Oreochromis niloticus: one gene and its partner. Each later gene encodes a partner of the first gene's protein in a complex. Links are inferred from orthologs where the notes say so. Each region holds a gene or a part of one and is shown on either strand. Other genes may lie near its edges. The genes, in order: naa35 and naa30.

Evidence for each region.
Region 2: the proteins of naa35 (region 1) and naa30 are in contact, whole or in part, in a cryo-EM structure (PDB 7MX2), measured with the Homo sapiens proteins. The link is inferred for Oreochromis niloticus from reciprocal best matches to the Homo sapiens genes NAA35 and NAA30. Residues at the interface, in NP_001308810.1 of Homo sapiens: Leu45, Gly46, Leu48, Leu56, Ala59, Met60, Ala62, Glu64, Lys69, Glu121, Phe313, Pro314, Arg315, Ala444, Leu510, Glu511, Leu512, Glu517, Pro605, Lys606, Phe607, Glu608, Leu609, Asp610, Val614, Arg615, His618, Arg619; in NP_001011713.2 of Homo sapiens: Glu221, Pro238, Ser240, Tyr242, Thr243, Arg245, Tyr246, His249, Asn250, Lys304, Ile324, Glu334, Asn335, Leu336, Gly337, Val339, Arg340, Asp341, Lys342, Arg343, Phe345, Arg346, Tyr347, Tyr348, Leu349, Leu359, Trp360, Leu361, Arg362.

What each region holds. Positions count from the first base shown.
Region 1 is NC_031977.2:20,759,016-20,769,535, forward strand, and holds the start of naa35 (N-alpha-acetyltransferase 35, NatC auxiliary subunit), read right to left. Parts: upstream 4,627-10,520; 5' UTR 4,491-4,626; intron 2,175-4,490; 5' UTR 2,167-2,174; coding exon 2,046-2,166; intron 1,889-2,045; coding exon 1,855-1,888; intron 1,529-1,854; coding exon 1,414-1,528; intron 1,268-1,413; coding exon 1,193-1,267; intron 847-1,192; coding exon 679-846; intron 345-678; coding exon 278-344; intron 1-277. Other genes in the region: agtpbp1 (cytosolic carboxypeptidase 1), read left to right, coding at 6,275-6,306, 7,463-7,593. UniProt on the Homo sapiens protein: Auxillary component of the N-terminal acetyltransferase C (NatC) complex which catalyzes acetylation of N-terminal methionine residues. N-terminal acetylation protects proteins from ubiquitination and degradation by the N-end rule pathway.
Region 2 is NC_031980.2:4,759,425-4,769,771, forward strand, and holds the start of naa30 (N-alpha-acetyltransferase 30), read right to left. Parts: upstream 5,247-10,347; 5' UTR 4,842-5,246; coding exon 4,011-4,841; intron 3,302-4,010; coding exon 3,178-3,301; intron 2,969-3,177; coding exon 2,913-2,968; intron 2,531-2,912; exon of another isoform or gene 2,393-2,530; intron 1,145-2,392; coding exon 1,007-1,144; 3' UTR 1-1,006. UniProt on the Homo sapiens protein: Catalytic subunit of the N-terminal acetyltransferase C (NatC) complex. Catalyzes acetylation of the N-terminal methionine residues of peptides beginning with Met-Leu-Ala and Met-Leu-Gly.

The DNA of each region.
Region 1 (10,520 bases):
TTTATGCTAAAACCACGAGGGCCTACTGTCAAAGTATCAAGTGTTCTTTGGCAGAGATTTTTAAACCTTGTTGCACGCCTACATCTGCAGATGCTGCCTGAGGGCATTACCCACAAAGAGTCCCAAACACACAATCCTAGGCCTCGAACTGACTTACTCAACGTCTGCTCCTGTGCACTCGAATGGTATCATTTAGGTTGTTAAGAGTTTCATTTTTATGCTTTAGGTTGGAGATTGACATTGAGCCTTAATCAGTTATGAGTGGAAGTCTTCATACCTGTCACCCGCAGATCTGTGACATTATTAGCCATCTTAAAGCCATAGGTCATGGCCTGGAAATCCTCCTGCATAAAGACATATAAGATAAAACCATTCAGACATATGGCAGTTTTAGAAATGGGCTACTACGAGAACAACTTTTCAAACAAATAGGTTTAAACAAAACACATTTGCAATCAAACTAAAGCTCTTTGGGTCTGGAAATCTTCACTGAGCTCCATCTTTCAGATATCTCAATTTTTACACACAACTTACTCACAGCTTTTTCTTTCCCACCTGGGTTTTTTTGTGTTGGTCCATGATTTTAACCTGCTACCATTTCTGACTTTATGTCCACATTGAAACGTGCAGTACCACAGTACCCAAACATTTACTGACTGACAGCAGAAAACTGCTCACCTCTTCAAACACAGCAGCCTTGTTGACCTTTTCCCGGGAAATGTCACACACCTTCAACAAGCCCAGGGCAAAAGCTTTGAGGGCTGGCTCCTCAATCAAGTCAGGGTTGTGAACATAGAGGCAGGTAAACACAGTCTGGGCCAGGGAGTGTCCCTCCAACCATGTTATCTACATATACACACATATTAGAAAACACAAACATGCATACATAAATATGTCTTGATCAGTGAGTCCGCAGTTTGAGTCATCGCTGGCCCGATCTGTATCAGTAATCTCTTTGCCAACACTTATTGTGTTTCTCAAATTTTACAATCTACTAAAGACAAAAATGCCATAAAAACGTTAAAACGGCTACAAATACAGATTATAGATTAAGCTAATACTACTGCAGTAAACATTTTCCAATCCAGTCACATTTCAGAAAATCTGCAGTACAAAGGAATTACAGGGGGCAGCACATTACTTGAACATAACTTTCAAAATTTTGCCTTATAATAACCAAAAGCGAACTCACCAAACAGCAGAAACAGGTGTCGATGATCCCGATGAGTTCGGGAAGACTGAGGTCTTTGACCTTGATGGCACCCTCCTGGAACAAAGAAAGAGGAAAATAAGGTGGTTAAATGTGTGTTATATACACAAACAAATTAAACTAAGATCTGAAAAATTAAATCTAGGATTACATTACATCTCTGTCTGTATACTGTTTTTATTACATGAAAAAGAGATCAGTACCTTAATAGCTTGCTCAAAATTGAGCACTTTCCTGTTGACCTGGTTTCCGATCATTCCCGCATCCATCTTAGGATCCATCATCTCTATAGCTGACATGGCTTCAAACAAGCCAAACCTGCAGCAGAAGTAAAACATTTTTGACCTCTGTAACATTTTTTCTGTGTTCACTACATGAAAACATAAAAACACTGACAATATTTATGGATCGATCCAAAAATGAATGCAAATATCAACCCAATTAAATTCAAAGTCACTTGTGGCAAAAACATTAGAAGCTTTCATTATAATTACTCTGGACAGTCAATGCTTTGAACTATGACTTTGGGACATGAAAACTTTTTTAAATTGAGGATCTGTCCAGCAGTAAGATGAAAAGGTCGTTTCTAATTTGAGGGACTCTTGAAAATGTGAATCCACAAAAAAGCACTTTGGTGTACTCACAGCTTGTCATGAAGCAACTCTCCAAGGTTCAAATCTGCATGAATAAAGGATGACAACAAGGAAGGAGAAACACGTCAGTCCCTTTTTTTAACTGCACACAGATGACACACACACACACACACACACACACACACACACACACACACACACACACACACACACACACACACACACACACACAGAGTCCTTACCTTTGCAGGCGCTTTTGAATTCATGTGTAATATCAACCCAGTTGGCGTTGTTCTTCATCTTTTCTGGGATACCCAGCCCCCAGCCAGTGTCATCATCATCAACTGCTGATTTCATCACCATGGTGACAGCTTAAGACACATAGATAAACATTACATTAAATTAACCATAGCATGCCAATGTAAAGCATTTTGCTAAGTCATCCATCCAATCGCCTAGCCAACTTAAAAGTTCAGGGAGGCAGTGAGGGGGCCAGCAGCCTCTGTGTCTCTGTGTTAGCATCACAGCGCTAACACCGAGATCCAAACAACCATAAACTCTACTTGCACAACTACAATTAATGCCAGTTTAGAATCAGCAACTAACATACGGTTTGTGGGAGGACACCAAGGCACCCAGAGGAACCCCACAAAGACACATGGCGGATATGAAAAAAAAAACCTCACATAAAGCTTTAAATCTGCAATATCTCCACATTTTTTCCTTCCTTTACTGAAAAGAAAGATTTTTTGTCCTATATAAAAACATTTTTTTTATTTATTTATTATTTTAATAACAGATATAGCCATGCTTGTACCTGATGAATTCTAGCTCAAAGTTAGTACTAGGTCCTTGTTATAATTAGCTCAGCTAATGGCATAAGAGTTACACTTGATTAAGAGGTTTCTTATCTTATTAGGTTTTTTGTTTACTAGAAAAAAGAAAGCTTTCAGTCTTTCCTTGCTGAAGTGAAATCCTATTTTCCTCAGGTCATAGGCTAACAAATTCTAATTCTTGAGACAATGTAGGTTCAATATCCTTAGGATTAGTGGGGTTAGGTTAACTGGTGTTTGGTGTTTAGTGTGATTGTGAGTGTGAATGGCTGTCCGTCTCTCTGTGTTAACCCTGCGACAGACTGGTGAGCTGTCCAGGGTGTACTCTGCCTCTTACCCTATGGGTAGCTGGGATAGCTTCCAGCCCCCCACAACCATGATAAGGAGGAGAAGCAAATGGATCAATGGATCTTTAGGATGTGTTTCCACTAACTACATGAGCAGAATCATCCACATAAAGGATTCAGATTCATACACAGCCTGAGGCATGTCATTAATATAGATGGAAAAAAGTAATGAACCTAAAAGAGATCCTGTCATACCATAAATAACATTTCCAAGGGGTGACCTTTAAGAATCATTATTTAATTCTACATAATATTTTCTTTCCAATAAAAATCTTGAACCACCACAGATATTTACATACATTCCCTGTGTGGATCCAAAGTAAATTAAAACTTGTTTTAAAGTCATTAAATATGTACACTGTACAATCATTCCACAGTGGAAAAGGAAAAGTCATCAAAAGCCCAAAATCACCATGACATTCATGCCCATAACAAGTGTATGTAAACTTCTGACCAAAACTATATTGGCTCTATATCTGCTTGTAGAGTAGAATAATCTACAGTATCAAAAGACTTCTGAAGGTAGTGTATATTATACTGTATATTAAATATAATTTTATTACTGAGCTATGAAAGGTTAGTATGCGTAAAGTACTCTGGCCTAATAATAAAAAACATAAACATTTAAAACTTCAGCATGCAGTTTAACAGTTGTAACACAGCTCAAAGTTAACGTACAGTAAGAAAGTGAATGTGATCCAATGTAATAATATAATTCACTGATCAGTCAGTCAATCTTCTGAGCATTAAAACCGCAATCCATTATTGTTTTTAAACTGGAAATGTGTCAATTTCTGTATGTTCTTAAAAGCTTTTACGCATTTTTGTTTACATTAGCCTCGACTCATTGAAGTTTGACGAGGCTGACCTAAGCTAACAACAGAGGATTAACATGCGAGCTGACTTGAGAAGCTTGTTATAGCCTAAAATGGTGTAAACTGCACTCCAGAGTGCCCTGGAAAGTCTCAGCCGTCTACACTAAGAAACTGATGTGGGTCAGGGAGAGTTGAAACCATTTTTAAATGACTGATTCATTCACATGTAACATATATAACGTTTAGAGTACGTATAAGAGGCAACACGGGTAATCATTTGTATAGATGTTTCATAAAAGCCTATCAGAAATCGATATTACCTGATCAAATGCCCGTAAAATGATCAATGGGATAAGTAGTAACTGTTTGTCTCCTAACATATACCTTTTTGAAACTAATAACATGGATGTCAAAAAGTCACCTAAGTTTACACAGTTCTCAAAAGCGTACTAAAACTCTTAGGCAAGATACATAATTTTAAAAGACACGAGATGGTGTGAGTTAGCTATCACCAATCGTCACATTAGCTAGCTTTACGGTGTGCAAACAAGCTAATGTTGCCGACAGTGGGTGTTCTCTGTGAACAAAAGCTGCTTATGGATGTTTTAACAGATTAATCCATTCCACTCAGGCATATAAAACACGAAGACTGTTACTTAGAAATTATACTTTCGCTGTAAATCAGCACGTACCTTACTATATTGTATTAACCATGTAGCTAATCAAAGCTCCCCCCGAAGACTGTAAAGATTGGCGCACATGAATGACGTCATCAGCAGCAGCGATAGGAAATGTAGTCCTGTGAACGCCAAGCCTAACGGAACGCTTATGACTTAAAATCAGACCAGTGATGATATAAAACGATTTTTGAGAAGTTTTAAGGATTTAGTGAGCTAATTTATGATGTTCACATCGTAGCATTAAATGCCGCTTACACCACGCGCAAAGACGTAACCACTGTCGCGGTGCTCACTAACTGCCCCCTCTAGTTGTGTCTGTTCCATCTCATCATCATCATCAGGGCGTTTCAGGCAACGCTCAGGAGCACAGTAGCTGTCGCCTCTTATCCCGCAACTAGTCCTCCACCCTAAACGGGACAACAGTTCCTTTTTCATACAGGTTTGTACATCATCTCTTTTGTGCTGCTATTCTAAAGAACCACTGCTTCAGCTAACATCTACTGTGTGCTGTTTTTGTTAGCATATTCTTCAGTTAGCTAGCCTGCTGGCGCAGACAGCGAGTCGTTAATGAGTGACTAGCCCAGCAGGTGCAGCGGCCACCAGCTTCAGCTAGGTTGTCTGACTTAGCATCTCGTAAACATGTACCGTACAGAGGCTTGCCTAGCTGTTTACCTTTTCACCAATAACCCGCTAACAGTGACAACCCCCGTGAGCTGGTGCAATGAGAGGAATGACCCTGGTTTCTTAAAGGATTTTGGATCGGGGATTGTGAAGTAGCTCTATAGGGTTATTTCGACTTGTTTACAACCGTCTTGTGTAAGCTGACCTCTATAACATGTCAGATTTCATAACTGCTTGAGCAAATTTTAAACGTGTATATGGTCTGACCTCCAGTTTCATCTTTACTCTTCTTTAGCCCGTTTGTAACAAAGGCGTGACCATAGATTGTGCTGTCACTCTTAGATTAGGCTCTATCCTTTTGGTAAAACGGGTGATGGGCCTGTAAGCTTTGCAAAATTCTCGTTAAGAAGTAAAGGTGTTTTTTTACTTTTTCACCTTCAATTCTAAAGTAATGAAGTATTTTAATGTGGACACATTATAACCTTATTACAAAACTCCCTTGTGTTTAAAAATAATGGAGTAAATGTCATTAGGCACCAGTGATGACCCCGCACTAACACATGTTTACGACCCATCTTATCTCAGCCCATAAATGCTTCTGTTTTGAAACTGCAGCAGACTAACTCGTCCAGTCTTCTTGGATTCACCTGCTCATCCGTTTCGGTTAATGGTACCGCACTTAGTTGACTTGTTTATTGTGCTTTCAAACCTTGTGCTCACATTACCTTGACTGCGACTGTTTTGTGTGGATATCTGAGATGAGTTGAACAGCTCCTTTTGTTTTGTGTGAAATCAGTTGATAGGTAATGTGTCCCCCAGGTGGTCCCAGCATGCACTGCTGGGCAGATACACAGAGGACAGGTTTTTAGTCTGCTGTGGAGCTGCTGCATATTTGCAGACTAATGGCTTCTCTGCTCATTGTGTCCCCTAAGTTGACAGCTTCTTGTCTGTGGGGTGACCTCACAAGGCATGCGTACACTGTAGCCAGGGACACTTAACTTTTCTGTGAAATGGTTTGGCATAGTAGCAAGCCTGGCTGCAACAGAGGGAGTCGAGTGGGGTAAAGGTTAACAAACATGATTGTTTCTAAAATTGTGTTGAATACCTCTTCCTCTTCATATCTAATCTACATGTTCTTTCACTTGCAGATGACTTGAAATGTTGATGTAGTAAAAATGAACAAGCCCAAAATGGCCACAGAGAAGGGGTGAGTTGATTTGCATTCAGAAAGCAAATAAAAATGTCATTACAGATGTGAACACAAACAGGCATGGGGGTTGTGATGTTTGTGCATGTGTTTCTGATTGAAGGCTGCTGTGTCACTGCCATCTGTTTGCACTCACACTCTCGCGCCCTCTCTCTCTGTCTCAGTGAGCCTTTAGTGTTATGATGCACTTCCACTTTTGTTCTGTTTTACCTTGTTAAGACCTTTTGCAGAAGGGTTTGACCCTGCTTTTCTTCTTGTGCAACAGAGCAGAGTCTGGTAGATAATTAGCGGATCTTGCTTGAAACAGCCATTCAATATGTCAAGACTGAAAATAACAGCTGTCCTTAACGCTGAGGCAATATACTTTGAAAAACCTTTGGTGTATTTTGGCTTTCCAAGATCTTTTTTTGTGTGTGTGTCTGTGTTCATCATAGTGATTAATGTAGTATGTTTATTTAGGCTTTCTATTTTTTGTTCTGTTTTTTCCTTTTTCTGTTAATACACTATTCTTCCCTCACTCCTGACATTTTTTGCTATTCTTTATTTAGCATACACTTTCTCTGTCTCTCTCTTTTCTTCTCTCTCTGTCTTTATAAGGACATATAAGACATTTTTGCTCCCCTGGGTAGAATCAGGGTCTTGATTCTCTGTCCAGTATTTGCCGTTGCTGTACCAACAACGGACCTCTAACCTCGAGTTTCCAGCTGAGTGCTACTGAGCTAGGATTATAAGAGGAGGACGGATCAGTGCTCCAGAAATGAAGTGAAACACAAAGAGACAGCTTTGTTGAAAAGCTCTAATAAATGAAGTTTAAAGTCATATAGTCATAGACTGCCAATTTGTAATCACCGGCACTGCTAAAAGTAACATGGAAAAGGCTGTTTTTATTGGATGCTTTCTAAAATTGGGCTAAGACACACTTGACTCAGTGTAAGTATATGATGTCACTGCACATATTAGATCATGCTTTACATTTGTTTTCCGTTGCCAACTGCACATTGTGATTAATAACATTAGCCTTTTCACATAATTGAGGGCACAGTTGATCATCTTGTGTGTGTGTTTTTTTTTTTTTTTTTTTTTTTTAAACATACAGCTGAATTATCCTGTTGGATGCAATGTTCTAAAAGTAAAAACTGATTTTATTTGTTACAAGGGTTCCTAGTAACTCCAGGATAGTGATGCTCCTGGGCCAACTGGAAAGGATGAATGGTGAGGCCATGGTCAGAGATGTTGAAACAGCAAGACAGGTCACTGCAAAGATCCTTCATCTCATACAGACACAGGGTAAGAATGTGTGCAAACATGCACAGTGATACATGTAATCTCCTGAACTCCGGTATAGTTTTGTTATCTTGAGCCAAGTGCAATCTCAGTGAGCAGTCCTGGCCTTGAATTGCATTGCTGGCAGTGGAAACGGCTGCAAAATATTCAGGCATTGTAATAAGTTATAAAACAGCAGTTCCTTGCAATTTGCAAAGTGATTCGTTTGGATTATGTAAGCAAGTATTCGACATTATCGATTAGAGGTTTTTGATCACCTCCATATTTTTGCTACAAATGTTCCCTTGGACTCGAGATAAGCTGCTTAGAATTAGGAGGTCAAAGGTTCCTGTGAAATCACTTTTTTTAAACTCTAAAAAAAAGTGCACTAATTATGACAAGAGTTTTACAAAATGTTTAATGCCATAGAAGCATGATGTGATGCCATTATATAGCTGAATGGGTCAAAGGTTTGCGTCACTGTTGTGTAATAATTTTTTGCAAAAACATTTTTCGGGCCATTAATCAAGGTCACAGCTGAGGAGTGGTCACATTTGGTCATATGCTTAACCATGACAGAAACTTTGGTTCTGTCCATACATCCATTTTCTGCTTCTTATTTGGCTCTGGGTCATGAGGGCACCGGTCTGAGCAGAGAAGCCCACACATCTTTCTCCACCTGTCCTCTCCAGTTCCTCCAGGTTCCTCCTCAAGTTGTTCCCAAGCCTGATAAGAGATGTAATTTCCCTCATTGTGTCTTGGGTCCTCCTGGTAGGACATGTGTAGGACGCATCCTGGTGAGATACCTGAACCACATCAACTACCTCCTTTCAAAGTGCTGGAGTAGCTGCTGTGCTCTGAGCCCATCCCTTTCCTCACCTTATCTCTATGGCTGAGCCCAGACATTCTACAGACGTTTATCATTGGTAGATCAGCTGTATTTACCACAACAGACCCATTCAACATCTACCCCACTGCTGATGCTGCACCAACCTGTTTGTTTCTCACTTGTGAAGATCAAGAGATATTTAAATTCCTCCAATTGTTGCAGAAACACCTCCCTGTAATCATCTGGAAGATCTTCAGTATATCTGTTGGACATGTATGAACGTGTACAGACAAGTACATGTCTGTAAACTGCATCTTTAGTTGTTGGAATAGTCACACAACCACAAAGTAGTATATTTAGTTCCAGGATCCAAGTCTTGCTAATAGGCAGTTGTTTGTGCAACTGTTTTAAAGCTCGTGTTTAAAATGAATGAGGATACAGCCCTAACCTTTATTTTAATGGTCATGTATGTATAGACTCACCAGTCATAACTGATAAAATCATTTCTTTCAATTCTCGAAAAAGTTTGGCCTCAAATATGAAGTTTAAACAGCATTTAAAATGTATTTATATTTATTTATAATGTGCATGCACCCACATTCATAAGATTAACAGCTTAATTGAAGGTGCTAAGTGTCTCTGGCTGATCCCACAAAATGAGCCCGATGCCACAGCACAATATGACTACAGTTAGCTGAGAAATCTTTATTACAATAACCATGGACTGGAATGATAATGAGTAGATATGCCTAATGTGTCAGAGGGTGTAGTTTTAGAGTTTGTACAGATGGAGGGTTTGCAGCAAAATTATTAAGTTATCAGCAGAAGCTGGGCACCTGTTGGAATTGTTTGGATTTAATCTTAAGACTTAATTGGTTTCTGTTGGTTCTTGCTGTAAATCAGTCAGTTTTTGAGCATTTAATTTCTATTAAATGTACATAATTTTTTAAGTTTGTACCATTCGAAGTCTTTCACTGGACCTATAATGACCAAGTGGAACTACCTTGACTACCTTGTTTTAAGACTTAAAGGCAAAGATCTATGTGAAAGCTTTAAAGAAACTCTTATTTGTATTTCAGTCAAATGCAGCAGAATCAGAGGTATTGTCCATTTATTAAGTACATTTCTTCCTCTCAAACCCATCTCTGTACATTTCACAAATGCCTTGATGCCTAGCTTCAGCTTGTGGAGAAAATTCCCAAATTCGTAGAAAACTTAAAGTGTGGTTGTTGTGTAAATTGAGATGTAGTAGTTCGTTGACAGTCAAGATGTGTCACCCAATCTCTGATTACTCCTTGAAAGGAAAACCGAGACGAAGATAACGGAAGAAGGTGGCACACCAGGTGTTGAACACACTGATACATGAGTGCGTCTCTGTTAGCAAGGAGCTAATTAAAAAAACAAAAAACAGACAGCATTGTTCTGCTGCTGTAACAATTAAAAATTAAAGGACTTGCTATATTAACAAACTCACAGAGGCTTTTGATCCTGTGTTTACAACATTTAGCATTTGAAACTCGTACTTCAAACCTTTCCAAAGATAAAGTTATAAACCTTTAAAAAAATCAATCTTCAAATAAATGCTCTCTTGCAAAAAATCAATTTTTACAAGATTTTTGTTTGTTTTTACTTATAATAACATAATAATAACAGTAGTAGTAGTAGTAGTAGTAGTAGTAGTAGTAGTAGTAGTAGTATTAATAATACTACTACTAATAATAATAATTATAATAAACTAATGTTGCCCTGTAGCACACAGTTTTAAGTTACTGGTTCTCAGTGCTTGTCAGTCCCCTCCTCCTTTGAGAAATTCTGCTGAATCATGATATGATATGATTCCCAACTACTTCTTCTCTCTTACTTTTCTTAAATTTCACCTTTCCACGTTCCATAACTTGTTGCTTCCTCCTCCTTCAAAGCAAAGTCCTAGCTAATCCATCATGAATGATGAGCACAGTGGAAAGGCTTGTCTGTGACTCTATCAATCATGCAGTATCAGCTGTTCCTCTCTCACCTGTTGCTTGGCTGTCCGTAACACCATGCCTGCAGTCTCAACTTGAAATGTGTATGAGTGTGACGTCGGTTTGAGGGAAGCGCCGAGGTCTGTGACCCCGCACGCAGT
Region 2 (10,347 bases), on another chromosome or scaffold:
TGGGGATTGGCCTCAGTCTGGGTTAATCGACAAGCTCTTATTCCTGCGCTCACATTGAAACAAAAAGCATGCATATCTTTACAGGCTTCAGTCCTGGGGGCTGAGGCAGGTGATGGAAGAAGCAGCAGCAGCAGCAGCAGCAGTAGCAGCAGCAACAGGGGGTGGGGGAGGAGTGCTGCACCTGCTGGACAGGATGGGGAAACAAAAACATACCAAGCACACGCAGTCATACAAATGTGTTCTTCACTCGCTCACAGTGAAACCAACGGCAAATGAAAGAAAGAAAAAAAAAACAAGCCACTTGCTTTCTGAAAAACACCAGGCGGTACAAACACACAAACTATAGCTTTTTCCGTCCCCCTGCCCAACATATAAGGGTAAAAAAAGAGAAAACAAAACAAAAATAAACTCCACAAATATCTTCCCAGTCTGTGTTTACCGCTCCACTTCCTTGTTTCATGTGGTGATGATTTTTTTTTTAAAGTTTTTTTCCTTGTGTTTTTTAAGTCTGCTTTGTCCCGGGTTCTGCAGGATTTTGGTGTGGTGCCTTGTCCTTTTTGTTTTGTTATTTTCTTGTAGGGGGTGGGGGAGTCTGGATGCACATCCTCACCTGAGCTGCCTCACACCTGGTTGAAGAGGCGCCCCCGAGCTTCCAAGGTCACAATGTCCCCCAGTCAATGAGGTCACCCTCACTCGCCCCGCCCTCGTCACAGAAGGCAGCGGGAGACCCCCCGTCGTGTAACACCTGATGGGATTTCAGTCCATTTCTGCCTAAACGCTTGTTCAGAGGTCAAGGATAAAAGGAGGGTGTGTCTGCTTGTTTTATGCATACTTATGTGCATACTCCTTGGACACAGGAATATGTGTAAGTGTGTGTGTGTAGGTGTCTGTATGTGTGACTATAAGAGTGAAATGACCAGGGCAGAGCTGAGGCCGTCAAGCTGATAAGTGTTCGAGGTGAACAGCACCTGCTGTCCCGTCCTCCTCCCGTCCCTTCTGTTTTCCGCTAGCGGAGCCACAGTTTGAGCCGCAGCGCGTCCACTCCATTCAGGTAGTATCTGAAGAGCCGCTTGTCTCTGACGAAACCCAAGTTTTCGTAGAGCTTCAGGGCTGATTTGTTGGTGATCTCAGTCTCCAATACAACCTGGGAACACACAAATGAGTGCGTGAGTGAGCAGACTGAATTTTGGAGCGTGTATTTGCTATTTGGTCGTTCCTGATTGTTTGGACTGGAACTCTTTACCTGAAGAATTAAAAAAAAGTTAACAATACTGAAAATGAACTCGTTTGCCGTCATGGGATCAACATAATATTTCCCCTCTTTGTCAGCATACACTGCCTTTACTTGGACCCATTTTTTCAGCCATTCGAGACTAATTTGCGTTAAACAAACCTCACTCCCTTGCTCCTAACCTGCTAGCTCCAGGCCTTTTCTAGACAGGAGGGCTGATCAGTCACCGCTGTGGTGGTCCTCAATATAAGCCACTCTAGCCAGAACAGATGAAAAGCTGGTACATCTGCTACTAATTTGAGCAACAGCCCAGTGCAAGACAGTGGAGGTCCAGCAAATCCACAGGATAAGACTCCTATAAACATTGCAAAGAGCGTATTTCTCCCATATTGGCTTCTCTTTATAGGACCCCTGTTAAATCCAGAATTTAATTTAAAATACATCTCCTCACAAACAAGGTCTTGAAAATCAGCCCCCATCTTATCTTAAAGACTTCGCTCTCCGACTCCAGGCTTACTTGTGGTTCCTAGGATATTTAAGAGTAGAATGGGAGGCAGAGCCTTCAACTCTCAGCCCCTCTTCTGTGAAAACAGCTCCCAATTTGGATTCAGGAGACAGTCTCTACTTTTAAGTTTAAGATTTCCTTCTTGATAAAGCATATAGTTAGGGTTTCTTCCCGTTAAAGGGGAGTTTTTCCTTCCCATTGTCACCAAGTGCTTGCTCATAAGAGGCTGTTGGGGCATTTTCTGTATTATCGCGGGGTCTCTGAGGTGACTCTTGCTGTGATTTAACGTTATACAAATGAAATGAAATTAACAGTTGAAATATTTTCAGGGGACAGCAAACACTTTAGACATCGATAGGCACTTGTACAGTATATAGTGACAGCGTTTCCTCACCTTAGAAACCTTCAACTGCAACTGTGACAAATAAATACTCAAACTCTAAACCTACCTTACTTGTGTGTCATATCTTGGTAGCTAACAAGCTGTAAGTGCAATATTTAAGTTGCTATTGCAAGTCACTGCTTTTATAAGAGAAGATATTTGGATAGAAAGCACGAGCACAGGACACTGAAGACCCACCCACACATTTGCTTGCAGTTACTTGTTCTTTTTCTTTTTTAAAATAAGTAAAAACATATCCTATAAAAACATGTACCGTTTGTGTGTACACATTCAAAGCACTGGATATTGCTGGGTTGTATCAGAGTGTCAGCTCTTTGGTCTCAACCAGCAAAGAGACTGAAGAAATCGTAACGCTGTATCACATGTTTCATCTTCTAGAAGAATTCAAAGTCTGCAAAGGAAGCAGCATGAATGTTTGGCTTTTCAGGGAGAGGCAGAGCATATGAAATAGTTTATGGTAGAAGATCAAGGTTACCAGCTAGTTTAGATAAGTGAAGGACAGCCCAGGAAAACTGGACCTTGAAATAAAAACGGCTTTAAACAGCTATAAATGTTCTCTCTTTCAGTTTGTGTTCCTTTCAGAAATCTACAACAAAGAAGGGAATGCCAACAGTGTAACATGTGTTTATACTATTGATTTTATGTAGGATGCATATTTTCACAGTACGACTGAATACGCTGGCACTCTGGCTTGAATAACGGCTCTTATGTAATGTGTGCAAATGTGTTAAAGTTTGGTTCATAAACAATGCCACTGGGTCTAGCTCGCTTACCTCGTCGCAGTCGCCCTCCACCATGGCATAGATGGCCTTTTTCACCAGATTAGTACCTGAAACAAAAGAGTGGACTCTAAGTAAGAGGCTAAACCCATTTATGGCCTCCATCTCCAATATATTAAAGTATAACATTACTCATCACTCTGAGTGCAGAGTCTATCTAAATGGTGCATTTGCATAAAGAGATTTGGTTGCCCGGGACAGCAGAGAAGACGGTGAAGGGAGAGACTGAATATTCTGAAGAGGAGCGCCGAGATCTCACCTATGCTTTTCCTTCTGTGTTTCGAATCCACGGCCAGCATGGCAATGTAACCTCGACGAAACATCTTCTTATGCATGTCAAGCTTACATACAATGGCTCCGACACACTCCTGCTCCACCATGGCCTGAAATGCACACACACAACAAAAAATACACGCTCAGTGGTTACGAGTGTCCACTGGGGTGGCCGCTGACAGCCTAGCAACCGTTCCTCTGAAGTTCCTGTCATCCTGCCAGTTCAGCTGGCTCCACAAGCTGACCTCTGACCTTTTTATCTTTTTTTTTTTTTTTAAATAGCACTTCCTCTTCTGTCACATGTGGTGATCCAGCCAAAACTGGAAATGGGATGTTTTGGACCTTGATGGCCACAGAATGAAAAGAAGGCAGGCCAGTGTTTTCAAAGCAGAAAATGCTACCATGACACAGCACATGCAGAAGGAAACCTAAGGCACATTACTCTCTGCTAATACTGACGATTAGATTTTATAATTGCTTTACGTTACAAATCTGTACATATATGAGTGGGCTGGCACATTTCTTGATTCATTAATAACCTAAAAAACTGAATCAATGTTGGATCTGTAACAGTAGATGACAGGTTGTTTACTGCCTGCCAGCAGTAAAATAGAAACTAAACTTATGAGCTGAAATGTTATTGACATGTGTGTGCTTTAGCTTCAGTACACGTCAGCTCTGACAGCCTTGGACGTACAGTGACATGTGGTGAAAAATAAAGCTGTCACACCCAACTCCTATAATACTCCTGCAACTCAGAGTAACCAGTCCGAAGTCAGACTTCATAACTGTGAGCGGTGCGTTCAATCTACTACTTACCAGAAAGCAGAGCTGCGGCCAGTTGTGGATGAAGTACCTGTAAGTGTAAATTGAATAAGGCTCAGATAAGTCCTTGGTGATCAGTCTCATGATCCACGGCATCTGAAGTTCGGACTCATAGCGGACATAGCGGATGCCGTGGTTCTCCCCGGGGGAGCCGCTCAAGTCGAGCCGGGCGAGCTCCTCGGCCGGCGGCTGCTGCAGGTCAGCCTGGCTCTCCTCACCGCCGGGCCCAGCAGCGTCCGGCTGCTCGTCACTCGAAGGTCTAGAGGGCGGCGTGTGGTCCAACTCTTTCCCCGCTTCGCAGGCCGCCTCAGCTGTAGTGAAACCCGGCATCCCGTTCACGCTATTGTTACCATGAGGAGAGTGACTGCCGTTTTTGGAACAGGGGCTGTGGCCTTCGTGTTGGCAGTGCTCACTATTGTTCCTAGCGGCAGGAGCCTCCTCGTTGCTGCCAATACTGTTGTCACAGTTGTCTACGGACGATCTGGGATTGTCAGGCCGGCTTCCTACGTGCTGGTGGCTGTCAGGGTCCTCTGAGGGGCTTGCCAAGCCGTTCAACTGCTGCTGCTCTCGGGCTTGCATTTTAAGGTGAAGCGCCGACGGGCTAGCTCGCGCTAGCATGTTTTTCTGCTTCTTCTTGACCGACCTTTTGACTTCGTTTACCGACTGAGACTTCGTCCCTGTACCGGCGGGCACACACTGCTCCCCGTGGCACGCCGGCTCTCCGTCTTCCACCGCCGGCTCCGCGCTCCCAGCCACGGGGAAAGGAGGAATTTCAGCCGGGGATGCAGGCAGTACGCTACTAGGCCCAGGCGGCACTGTGGCCATCCCACTGCATTAAGGTGGTGATTGACACTTGGAAAACGTTGAACACAATTTCATCCACAAGGCGAAGGCATATACAACCAATATACGAGCTAGTTCATCGAATATTGCTTAAATCCAGGGTTTTCTGGGGCGATAACGTTTCCGCTGGCGATGGTTGTCGCTGCTTTCTCCTCGATTTCCCTGCTGCCGCAAAGTGCCGTCGCAGCAAACGCCATTGCAACGGCATTCATACACGTTTTACGACAGTAGTGTAACGCATGAGTGTTGCACGGTTTTTCCCACTTCTGTTACCCCCTGCCCCCCGAGGCTGTTTTTTGGTCATCCTTGCACCTTGCGAAACTTTTTATATTGTTTGTCAAATTTATCTAACCAGTCAATACTGACATTTACCTCCTTCTGTTCGCCTTTATGTTCTGTATAGTTTAAATAATATATATGTTTGTGTCGTACCCTGCATTACCACACTGTACTCACAACATTCTGGTAATGCAACACTGGAGAAGTCAAAGGTGACTGAAGAAGTCCTTGTACTGCCCTGTTAAACCCAAGAACATATTCTTCCTTACCAGCAGAGGGCGCCAAACCGAAGCTTTAGCATATGGAATAGTTTTGTAAGAGCAACAACAACACTGCGTTTTCTCCACAAGATGCCGCCATTCGACCAGTTTGTCGCTTCATCCTGCAAAGTAGGTGCAAGTTGGTGCGTGTATGTCCAGTAGTATCCAATCATGGTCTACTCTCCTTTCCAGAAGCATACTGTAGGCTGCTGTTAATTCATCATTCCCAGGATGCTGCGAAGCAAGAAAACCACAACACTGCAGTTGTTCATATTACACATAACATGATAATAATACATAATAATAATTACATTTGTTTTTTGTTTATATTTACATTTAACCATTTCCTTTAGTCTGCTAAGAACCACATTCATATTCGTCTTTCACTTTTGTTACATTTATTTCCTTTTAAGGTTTCATTTTTCCCTAACCTTTATTAGACACAAAAGTACAGAGAGCCGGCAGAGAAGCATGGAGAGCGTGGAGGGAATGACATGCATGAAATGGTCTGGGGCAAGCCTCAGTAGCAGCCTTTGGCATACGGGTCACCTGCTCAACTACAAAACCTATATAGATTTGTCTTTGTAATCAAAATAGTCTAGGCTCACACTAGAGGAATAATCTCCAGATAAAATTTGCCAGGTGCACAAGTCTAAGTCATGAGTTTGTAGTATTGGAACAGAGTTTGTGATATCGTGTGCCAAGAAATCCCCCCAGAAAAAACAACCAAAAACCAAAATTTTACAGGAGGCAGCAGCCTGCCTGTGGAGAGCGAGAGGAGAGAGATTGTGTGCCAGCATAGGAAGGAGAAGACAACAACGCAGAAGACTTCACAGGGGTCCTTCCCCTGTTACACTGTGAGGGTGAACACAAAGTGTGAGGTCACTGAAACTCAAATGTAGCGACAGGAAGTCAAGTGATTCTGAAAAATGTTGTTACTGTAGTATTCTGTTGCACACAATAGGCCATGTTTTATTACCGCAGTACCTGTTTCTGAGTATTGATGCTCCCCATACCCTGTTAACTGTGTTGCACATCTTTGTGTGACCACATGCTTTTCCCCTCACAAAACATACAAATTTAGGTGATCTTGAAATCAGCAAGACATTACAGAGTATTAACTTTGATATATTTAAAACAGAAGTACAGTGCTCTAAAAAAGTCCTAACTCATAGGACAAGAACTTCAGGAAATGAGAAGCTGAATTATGCATTTCTATTCTCCACACACATTCTGACCAAATATTTATATCTTTTGACTCCCCTTGTTTGTAATGTCGTTTTTGGTGGTGATGACTTATTTATTTGAATCAAAGGTTTTGGGTGAGTTCACTCTAAGAGCTGTAAAAACTGTACTGCTTAGCTCTTGTATCATAGCTCTTAGCTCTTCAGCATCATATTTGTCTTGCCTGCCAGCACCAAAGTTTGCTTTCTTCTCCTTAAAGTCCTGCTTTTTCTGTAATAGACGGTCAACATTTTGGATGTTTCTTCTTGCTCTACGTCTCTTCCTTACCTCAGGGTAGACCTCGACAGATATTCCAGCTTTTTCTCAGTTTTTTCTGGCAGATTTCTTGCAACATTTATGCTCCTCTTAAGTGGGGGGAATTTTTCAAATGAACTCAAATCTGCAGCAAAAACACTGTGACCTGCTGTACCTTTCCAAAAATCCTTTAATTCACGCATCAAAATTCAGCTTCTGTGTTGATGACTAAATAGTTTCCACAAGAGACATATAGGTGTCTTTCCTCTGCATCCTTACTCCTGTCCCTCTCAACTTCCATAAATATGTTTTCCAAAATTAAAATGATTGGCTCGCACCTGTGGCCACAGCACACAATTTAAACTATACTGCACATGAAAGTTCTTTATTTTGTTCACAAAGACGTGCCCCACTAATATTTGCTCAAACTGTGGACAGTTTTACCAAAACGAGGCAAGGATTTGAAAACCGCCATTCAAACTGGCAGTATCGCTCTGTAGCGCCCTCCAGCTGTAGCTCCAGGTACTCTGAAGTGGATCGCTTTCTCACAAAGACACAGTTGAGTCCAGTCGGTCTACCACAACCAGACCGTGACACAAAAGGTCTAAGTGGGAGCGCCAGATGCTAGAGAGCCTGACTTTGCTCTTTCATGCTAACACAGATTGATCTTTCAGTCGTTGTCTGTCCTACACAGCTACCATGAACATACGTGAGTTTTGAAAGGGAGTCATATTTTATGTATAAATATACATTACAGAGAAAGAGGCCGAGATAGGAGGGAGAGAGAGAGAGACGTCTCTTTTAAAGCTAAGCCTTGGGGCTGAGAACTCTCTGAAGAGCTGGAATCAGACATGCACAATCAGTTCCCCTCTTCAAATCTCCTTTGCAGGCCTATCTACTTGAACAGGCTTCTCTTAATTACTTTCTCTATCACTTAGGCGAGCCGTGGCTGGGACGAGGAGCAGCAGCGTCTCTGCCAGAGACATTTGGCTGGTTTGAACCCATATTTTTATAGGCCTATCTTTTTTCTCACAAGCCTGTCCCACACCTTCTCCCCGCACCACCACCACAACCGCCACCGCCACCGCCACCTTTCTTCCCTCCTTGCCTTGCTTTCATTGCACGTTGCTCTTGTCTTTCCGTGGCTCTCCCCTATTCCAAATATCTCCAGGGTGTCAGTTGCGTCATGTGACTGGTGCGCTTGTGATTACAGCAGTTGGCAGACGTGCTAATCTATGAGGAAGAACCCAAAATATCTGGAGAAAAAAAATGACAGCATGTAAAAGAAGCATAAGGTCAGTATGGAGATCAGCGGAGAGCGAGAACACGGTAAAGACAACTCAGGGTTGACACTGAAACCCGAATTCCCTCCTCTTTCAAATCTCTCCGCCTGTCTTCCTGTCTGTCTGAACCGCTCTCAGGGGCTTGAGGCCAAACTTTGGACCCCCTCCTCCTCCCTTCCTCTCTCATGCTCCTGCCTGTCACATTGGCTTGCTCTCCTCACTCCGCTCACTTCCCTGTGTCCTCCTTCTTCTTCTTCTTCTATTTTTTTTCTTCTCTTTTTGTCTGGCGTCTGGTCCACTAGAGCTGTATTTAATTAGTTTCTGTTGGGTTAATTAGGGGCTAAAGTTAGGGGGTCGGACCAGAACAAAAGCGGGTCAGGCTGGACGGATGCAGGTGCTCAGGAGTGGTTGCCAGATTCCACCGTTCAGATTAAGATGGCCTTGAATTGTCTGGAGTATTGGAGAGCAGGCGAGCCACTAGTAAATCGCAAGGAGGGGAGGTTTTCCACCTCACACGGGATGGCAGGCTCCATATGTACCCACGGCAGCATCACCATTCTTGTTTATTTGAATTTCAGCATCATTTCTACGCGTGTGCCACACCTGGATTCATCGCAGAGTTGGTCCAATGTATGGCGCGTGCAAGTGATGTCCTCGCCAGTCTGTTGTATGTTCTCATTCATATCACTGCCCGCCACCCTGTGCCCCCACCCCCACCCCTTTTTTTCCCAGCAGTGCCAGCTATACCCTGCTCCTTTGGCTTGCGTGGAATTAGAAGAAAAATATGTGAGGAGGACATCAAATGACCAAACCAAGCAAGTGAAGCATACATAAAATGGGCAGCGGCAGCCTTTGAAGTGTACATCAGTAGCCCGAGTGAAGTGATCACATAAATTAAACGCATAAAGACAGCAGTGTAGATGTGAGTATAGACCGCTGCGCTTTGATCTCACCTGTTTACTAACTGTTCTTTTTGGCACATTGTTTGAAACTCACACATGCTGCATGCAACTCACACATTGCAAAAGTAAAAGAAAGACACCATTCGACCTTTTTGAAAGGGAAGGAGAGGAAGAGGGAGAGGAGAGAGGAGAAACGAGAGGAGAGGGATCTCTGGCATGGCTGGAGCCCCTCAGTGTGTGAGGGTCCTGGGGCCCTTTAGACAGGCGCCAGCCCAGCAGGGAACCAGAGACAATCACGCAGCACCAGATTCAATGCACAGAGATTGAGGGATGGGAGAGAGATGAGGAGTCACAGAGGGGTGGATTGAAGGGGGAGCGGGACAAAGAGGACAGCTGAGAAAGGTGGAGGACACGACAAGGAGACGAGTGGGAAGGGTCCAGGTAGAAATCGAAGGAGCGCAGAGCGAATGAGCTAAAAAGAGTTGGATGGAGAGGGGGAGAATGACAGCGCAGATCAAGAGGAGAAGTAAAAGGAAGAAAGAGCAAGCCTGAGAGAGATAGCATATATTCCCTCTGTAACAGTCTTTATCACCAGCCCAGATCGTGGCGTATGAACAGTGATCCAAGTCAACCATCTGCTGAGGCTAGATAAGCCTGGGAGAGCTGGGTATTGAGCTGTCACTCAGGGAGGAGTGCAGAAAAGGAAAGAAAGGAGGGGAGAGAGAGAAACAGAAGAGAAATAAAGACGGGACAGGAGAGAGATGGAGAAGAAGGAGGGAGGGAGGGAAGGAGGGAGGGAGGTGTCTGCGCAAGGTAGGAAAAATGAAAGGAGAAGATTTGTGCGGAGTGGAGAGCACCCGTCTTGTTAGAGAAAGACTTAACGTCAACTAGATGTCCGGCCCTGTCCCGTCTGATCTCGAATAATCCTTCGGTTAACAAGAGGAACAATAAAAATGTTTTCTTTCTCGTCAGCCTACACGTCCCACACGCACACGTATATCACACTGTGAGACGCATCGACTCACATCACTCCTCATCACGCTAATGTTGACAGGATGTTTGTTTGTTTTCTGTCACTGGCAGCATGTGCATATTCACATTTGTCACGTTGTAAAGTTCTAATCACGAAACAGGGCTTCTTGCCATTTCAAACAAATCTGCAATTTGCCTATATTAATGTTCAAAAATGTGTGGGGGGAGCTGTGTCCCCGTGAAGATCACCTCCATTGGTCGGGAAGATCCCAACACTGGTTTAGGGCTTGATGAAGCCCTAAAAAATAAATTC